Bombyx mori: one gene and its partner. The protein of the gene in region 1 purifies or fractionates together with the protein of each later gene. This does not show direct contact. Links are inferred from orthologs where the notes say so. Each region holds a gene or a part of one and is shown in the gene's direction. Other genes may lie near its edges.

Region 1 (3,831 bases):
GAACTACTGAACCGATTTGAAAAATTCTGCTGAAAGGAGTGCACAATGCTATTTTTTTTAAATTGTGCATTACAAATACATTAAACCAATAAAGAAAACATTACACACACTACCATGTATTTGACACACTCACTTCTATACTATACTATTTGTTTATTGTCAAACTTTTGTTAATGCTTAAAGTCTGTGGTCAAATTGAGAATAGGTTAATATTGTTTATCTTTAATATTACGAGTATTTGTCTGTAGTGTAGTCTTGGCGAAATCTGTAACAATAGGACCATAATAATGCTGAAACTTATAATTTCAATTAATTATAGTCGAATTTCGACTACTGCTGGACTACTACTTTTAATAAATTTGAATTAAAAATAATGTAAGAAAAAAAAATTTTATTGTAAAAAAGCGTGGGATGCTTTTCAGGATATTATAAAATAACCCTTCTACTCATATCTGTTCATAAAATATTTATAACTACTAATAACCATGCACCCCACGCTTGCTTTTTTTACATTAATCATTTTTCTAACACAATTTTTTTAGTTGAATTTCAATATTTTTTTTTTCAATTTTTTATATTGATTTGTCATCGGTCCATAATAAGTATACCAAATTTCGAGTTAATCCGATGTTTTGAAGGGGGGTCAAAATCATGTTCAAAGATTCCGTTACATACATACGTCTGAGGCTAATAAAACGTATTAAAAAAGGATTTGAACGGTGTAACGGTTTTAAAGTCGTCGTGGCCTAAAGGATAAGACGTCCGGTGCATTCGTATGTAGCGTTGAAACGGTGTTCGAATCCCGCAGGCGGGTACCAATTGTTCTAATGAAATACGTACTTATAGAGTAAGATCCCATGGCCCCCAGACGTCACGTATTTTCTGACGAACGAAATGTGGCCGATTGCGTAGTGTTAGTATGTACTAAGAATGCATGCCTACCTGCTAGCTTGCTTAGACGGTCAATTTTCAGGTATCAGATACTCAAGGTACATAAAATCATTACCTACTTCACGTATTTTCTGAAAGCTGATTTTTACGTATATTTTAGGCAATATCCTTAAAAATAAGTCGCCAATACTCCCAGACACTTTCCGTCGGCCGAATTGCTTTGCAGACGCTTTAAAGGGCCATCCCCTAAATTCAATTTAATACCTCTGTGGGTAAGAGCGGGTCTCAGTGGGTCGCGTTTCCGATCCGGTGGTAGATTCTGCGAAGCACGGCTCTTGCTAGGGTTCGTGTTAGCAACGGCGTCAGGTTAGAGACCCGTGAGCTCACCTACTAGTTAAGGCGACGCTGAAATGGTCTCTCAAGGCCAACAGCTTAGATAAGAAAAAAAAACACCCCGCTGGCAAAAGGCACGAACTTCTAATGTATGAGCAGTTAATATTCATACGTCTGTCTATTGTAATAAAGGTTAATTTCGTTTGTACAGCCGACGCAGCAGCAACTCCTGGCGGCCACCTCCTCGGGCGACATCCGAGTGTTCAATCTGTTCACGGGGGCCGAAGAGAACTCTTATCAAGTTCACGAATCTTACATTTATCATATGCAGGTTTGTGCTTTGTGATTCTTTTATTTTTTATTTTTTTATTACTTAGATGGGTGGACGAGCTCACAGCCCACCTGGTGTTAAGTGGATACTGGAACCCATAGACAGGTACAACGTAAATGCGCCACCCACCTTGAGATATAAGTTCTAAGGTCTCAGTATAGTTACAACGGCTGCCCCACCCTGCAAACCGAAACGCATTACTTCTTCACGGCAGAAACAGACGGGGTGGTGGTACCTACCCGCGCGGACTCACAAGAGGTCCTACCACCAGTAAGTTGTGACTTTATAGAAATGAGAGCTTTAATATATTTGTGAATATAGAGATGAGAACTTTTAACAAACTTTTTTAATGAATTAAAGACGGTTTGCTTAGAGAGGATATGTATGGAAATGACAACGCGAGGTAGAGGGCGAAGAGGTCGACCGAAGAAGACATGGATGGAGTGTGTGAATGACGATATGAGAGAGAGAGAGAGAAAGGAGTGAGTGTTGAGATGACGGCTGATAGAAGAGAATGGAATAGACAAATTCGCTGTGCCGACCCCACCTTGCGGGATAAGGTTTAGAAAAAGAAGAAGAAAGATGAGAACTTTAATAAATTTGTGACTTTAAAGATGAAGTTTTTTTTTTTTTTTTTATTCCCTTTGTAGGCAGACGGGCATACGGCCCACCTGATGGTGAGTGGTTACCGTCGCCCATGGACTTCAGCAATGCCAGGGGCAGAGCCAAGCCGCTGCCTACCGCTTAATACTCTCCATAAGCCTCGTTTGAAGAAGGACATGTCATAGCGCTCGGGAAACACCGAGTATAAGGAAAACAACCTCTTCACTATTTATCTATAATATATTATATATTAAAATGTTATTAAATGGAAAAATGTTTTTTTTAAATCTTTCATTATTAATAAAATGTAAGATATTATGTTAATGTCATCTGCAAGAACAATGAGAAAGTAATAACAAGCCATCTAGTGGTCAACGCCCGTAAACAGAATGTGTGAGAAACGACCTGGCTCGCGTCTGTTCTCTCACTCTCGCTCTTCCTAAATTGTATCTTTTCTCTCTAGCCGTAACGAATTTGTCGCGAGTTAAATGTTACTCTCAACGGGCCTAGAGAAGTTTCACTTCAAAAAAGTAGTTGCTCTCAGGAGCTGAGTTATGCTTATAATTATGAATCCATGCATATGCATCCACAGACAAGCAGAGACGGACTTCTGTTGCTAGCGTCAGCCACCACTCCTTGGAGGCCGCTCTCCGCCCTGTGGAACATGAAGGAGTTCGAACTGCTGTGAGTATTGCTTGTGGTGCTGAGGTTGGCAGGTGGACGGGGCGCACTCCGAGCCCGCACGTTCATGTCGCTAAGTCATGCACTGTATATGAATAGGAATGGAAGCTCTCGCTCTATGTGTAGTGGTATGTGTTCACAATTGCAAAGTTTTTAATTGAACATTCTCGGGATTTCATATGACATGTCCTTCTTCTAACGCGGATCGTGTACTTAAAGGTAGGCAGCGGCTTGGCTCTGCTGTCGTCCATGGGCGACGGTAACCACTCACCTACCGATGGTCTGTATGTTGTCTACACGGGTTGTATAAAACAAAGAATCCTTGATGAATACGACGTTTTGAAGTAATTTTTTTTAATATTTGATTTAAGTTCCCACTTTAAGCAGTCGGAGGCGATTGGATTGCTAATGAAATGTAAAACTACCTTAATTTCCCGTCTGAGCTACGATGTAGACAGAGACAGACTTATACGTCAATACGTTTTGTAGAGAACGAGACAGGATATCTCGAATCACAAGTCTATTGTTAATGTGGTCACCTCACAACCACCTAGACCAGTGATCGGCTAAACATAGATAACACCCAATGGCATGCGGTTGATTTAAAAGAAACGAGAACAGAGATACAAGAAAGAGTGTACTTTGTCCTTTTCTGGGCTAAAATTTAAATTTAATTTCGAATTTTTAAATTTTTGAAGTGAAAACTTCTTTAGAATCGTTGTGATTTCAAACCGGATGCAACGGAAAAAACGACAGGCAAGAGACACAAATACAAAAATGTGTAGGATGAAACCAGCAAAGAATGAGACAGAAATATACATACTATTTAATACAGCGCCATCTGTGAGATTTTTTAATACTAACGTCTGTATGAAAGCTCTTGTAGTGAATTTTAATTTAGGATTATACGTGAAATTAAAATATCAATTCACAGAGGGCGCTACCTTACAATTATTTACTAATGACAAAATTTTACATATACTTAAGACGTT
Region 2 (4,474 bases), on another chromosome or scaffold:
GGATCTAGAGCACGTTTCTCCAAAATTGACCAGAAGAATAAAATAAAGCTATGTACCTATAACCAAGCGGCTTAATATCAGAAATAAACGACCACCAATCTTCTGCTCTGATAAAGTGAGAAAGCTTTCCAGCCACGCTTAAAGGGATTACGATATGTTGTCACATATCGTTACTGACCCTTGCTGAAAGAAAGAATGTTTATAGAACATAGATATGGTTCATCTTCTCAAGAATCATAAACCTCAAGAAGATACACCTAAATCAACGGCTAATACTTTTTTCCAAAAATCTAGCTCATACCCTCCTCAATAGCTAGCATTCCACGAAATTATCACTGAAACCAGATAATTCCGATAATCTTCCCTATTGACAAATTGAGCAGGTTCTGTAGAGCTCTAAGTTTAAGCTTGGTAATTAATTGTCTATACTTCTATATACTAATATTATAAAGAGGAAAGATTTGTTTGTTTGTTTGTTTGTATTGAATAGGCTCCGAAACTACTGAACCGATTTCAAAAATTCTTCCACTGTTTGGAAGCTACACTATTTCTGAGTGACATACATAGATTATACACTTAATATTTTTGAAAAAAATAAGGTTCCTGACTAAAAACCCAATAATGTAACCAAAGGTGTAAAAAAAATACCTAAAATATTTATATTTACACCGCGTACCCTGCGAAAACTATTGTTAATAGAATAAAATAATGTACTACGACTTTGTAGAGCACATTATTATTTACAAAAAGTGTCGCGATAGCATATGACTAACTATTATAGTTATGCCGTAATAACTGTTATTTTATTTAAAAAAATAAAACATAATTATAATATTAAATATCGTTGAAAATTTTGTTAAAGACCAGAGCGGAGCCGGAGCAGGCCGCTAGTCCTTAATAAAATTTTATAATTTTTCTCATCGATTTTTATTCGGTCACGCCCTTTGTGTATTCCGAAAGTTGTTTTTAATTTACCTCCATTATTTTAAGATTCAAAATTTATGTCATATTTTTAATTAAGCAACATGCTTCTGGAAGCTGAGTCGTTTCATTTCTCTAGATATATTTTTTTTGCTTTCGGAGAGGATGTATTTGGATTATTTTCTTCACTACTTTGTTCCCATTCATCAAAGAAAAAATTAACGTTGACATGCGAAAATTGGTTCAAATATATATATATTTTTTTATTGTAAACGTATTTATGGCTAGTCTTCCAATAGAGAACGCGGGAGGTGAATTGTAAAGTAACTGTTAATTTAGTCTTTTTTCAGGTTAAACCATCTATTAATGGGCCTTACTCGTATAAACTGTTTAACACCTGTTTATTACTTTTCATAGTACAACAAACAGTTGCAATTGGATAAAATAGACTGTATGATATCATTTCTGTTTCTTTCATTTTTCCTGTTTTAGAAAAGCAAAACCATATCTGCCAAGTTGACACTTGACAGATTCTTTTAAAATGGCGTGTAAAAAACTAGAGCTCTTCTAAATAATTTTTCAGTATGGCAATTGGTTTTCTACGATCCTATTCCAAAAGTATCGAGTTTAAATAAAATACATCAGACAATCAATCATTAAAATCAATTCAATAATTAAAATTTAAATGCATACATACTTTGTAACAAGAAAAATACATCAGACGGAAATAAAGTTCATTTATTTGAAATTGTAACCATTACCGATGGTAATGAGTTGAATAGTCAATAAAATAAATTAATACAATATGAGAGGAGATGAAATAAAATAATCTCCTCCTATTTGTAATATAATTAAAAATCTAAGATCTCCTCTATCTTCTTCATCCAAATCTTAGAATTTTAGTGAGTCTTCACTGGTGTTTGGGCAAGAGCCCAAGAAGTCACATCCAGTGACTGTTTAATTTTCTCACACTTATCATCACTTAAGATGCACAAATATCTTACGCAAATATTAAAAGACCGCTTTTTAATTTAATAATAAGTAAAGTAAATATATTTGTCGTGTATTCACTTCCATTTAATGAATCTAACTTTTTTCAATCTTCAATGTTATAAACGTAGATTAGTTAAAGACAAGCTTGAAGCTATGGCCCCACAAACTTTTGTTTGTATTTTTGGTACCTCTTGGTTTTTTGGAATTTGTGAGGTTATTGAATAGTATTGTATCTCTAATTTTATTATTAGCCTCTGTGGTTAATGTTTATCATGTTCTACTTCTAGAGTGGCAACAAGAAGTTTACAATTTTCAACAATTTTCTATTAGGACTTCTTAACTGGTGCATTATTAAAATATCAATTCGTATTAATTCTAGTGTTGCATGATAGTAATAGAGACAAAATGATTACGAATTTCGATAAACTTTGTGCTGATTTGGAAAGGCAAGAACTTGAGGTAATAAGTATTTCAATAGAAAAGCTTATCCCGTTTTTACTACAACAATTTTAATCCAAATTATTCCATTGCAGACACCAAATGGAATAGCCAGTCCCTCGACTTACGCTCAGCTATTAGCTATTTATTTGTATCAAAATGATCTGTGAGTAATTTAAAGCAACATTCACTTAATTTCTTATCATAATATTCTTATTTGGACGGAAAATCACATTTATTTTTTGAAAATAATATATTTATCACCTACAAAGCATATAACGCTGTACTAAGTTAATACCAATTTACCAATACCAAATACCAAATTATTTAGTAGTACACTTAAAAAGCTTTTAAAAGTCTCGGGGAAGTCTAGTGTGAAAGTTTACTATATCTTGTTTCTTGGCCTGTTATAATCAATTTATTTTGTTTAATAATAAAATATTTATAAAATAAAATTTTGTTTTAATGACATAAAGTATTTATGTGATTATGATTAAGTTAATTGTTTCATATTGTGTTTATTATTATTATTTCCAATGTTTCAAATACTTCAGTTTTCATGCTCATTGTTTACCAAGTTAGTGAGATTAGTAATTAAAAGTAGTTTAATTTATTCTATTATCACTATGGACCTGTTGTGGTTGAGGTGGCCACTCAAGAAGGGGTAGTGCCTTAGTATCTAAGACATTTTATAATTTATAAGGATATAAAGATGTTAGTATAGCTGTATAACTAACACTATAACTAACAAAGTAGTAAACTCCACTAAATAAAAACTTGATAGCTAGTAGGCAATTGGTTGATTAGTATTGGTAATAGAGAAGATGGTAAAGCTAGTGGTTGATAGTAGAGTATATAGATTCATATACAATATTATCCACACTAAATTGAGTATGTTACTTTAAATTGCAGGTGTAATGCAAAATTTTTATGGAAGAGAATACCACAAAATGTAATGAGTAGCTCCCCTGAAATAGTTGCAATATGGGCTATTGGACAGAAACTGTGGAAAAAAGATTTACCTGGTACATATGAGGCATTAGCAGCTTACTCTTGGACAGAACCAGTTTCCAACATTATAAGAGCTTTGGAAGGTAACAATATTTATGAAACGCTATGAATAACTCATACATTCATAGAAATTTCTGATTTTTCTTTATAATCAATTGCTTTGCTTGCTATTCTATAAAATGTTTGTTAGTATTATTTGTGTGCCACTTGTCATATGTGAATGAAAATATGCCAAAAATCTGCCATATTAAAAAGCAAGAATCTTGGAAAAGTAGTTTCAACTGAATAAGATAACATGTAAATTACAAAGAACATTATACCAAAGAAGTATTAATATTGAAATTTTGAAATATGACGTGTCAAATTAGGTACGAGTGTAAATAAATTTTAACAGACAATACTATGAAGACTATCAGATTCTAAACTTAAAAATACCATTGTACTAAACACTTCTTCATACCACTATGATACATAAATAAGGGGCTTAATTTGATAGGGATTTCTATATTTGTAATAAAAAAAATGTTAAACTGTGCTGAGTTCCAAAATCATAACTACACAACAACAAAAAAAAAAACAAAAAAAAATTTTTAGTTTTGCTACATCAGGACCTGGGAAATTCCTGAAAGGAATGATTTTTAGGAAATGTTTCCCCTAAATGTTAAAAAGGTTTACTTTTCTTACACAATGACATATGAAAATGAGTATTATGTGAGGGAATATCCAGCAATGTGAAATGAGTGTTATATGAACATCGTCAGTCCTTTCCGACCTTTAATCACCAGTCAGTATTTACTTGTAATTTGGGCTTAAAATTTACCACCATCCATTCTATTTCTGTCTTGACGCACATTGATGAAGTAATCTAAATAAAAAATATACAATCACATTTTTTTTCATCTTCACAGAAAATGTTCGAGAAAGGACTCTAAACCTTATCGGAAGATCGTACAGTTCCATAAAAATAGATAAACTGATCTCAATGATTGGTCTCAGCAGGGAAGCCACATTACAAGTCTGTCAAGATCGCAGGTGGACTCTACATGATGATGGCATGACAGTGAATCCCTTACCCCCAGCACAACCAGCCCCATTGCATACTTCTAGTGAA

The links.
Region 2: the proteins of protein mahjong (region 1) and COP9 signalosome complex subunit 8 purify together in Homo sapiens (affinity purification with mass spectrometry; 4 studies listed by BioGRID and IntAct, counting the BioPlex papers as one, with this or other methods). This does not show direct contact. The link is inferred for Bombyx mori from reciprocal best matches to the Homo sapiens genes DCAF1 and COPS8.

The regions. Positions count from the first base shown.
Region 1 is NC_085130.1:15,862,362-15,866,192, reverse strand, and holds part of protein mahjong, read left to right. Parts: intron 1-1,435; coding exon 1,436-1,555; intron 1,556-2,750; coding exon 2,751-2,842; intron 2,843-3,831. UniProt on the Homo sapiens protein: Acts both as a substrate recognition component of E3 ubiquitin-protein ligase complexes and as an atypical serine/threonine-protein kinase, playing key roles in various processes such as cell cycle, telomerase regulation and histone modification.
Region 2 is NC_085110.1:11,099,444-11,103,917, reverse strand, and holds the start of COP9 signalosome complex subunit 8, read left to right. Parts: upstream 1-1,459; 5' UTR 1,460-1,503; exon of another isoform or gene 1,504-2,201; 5' UTR 2,202-2,319; coding exon 2,320-2,373; intron 2,374-2,447; coding exon 2,448-2,518; intron 2,519-3,264; coding exon 3,265-3,446; intron 3,447-4,271; coding exon 4,272-4,474. UniProt on the Homo sapiens protein: Component of the COP9 signalosome complex (CSN), a complex involved in various cellular and developmental processes.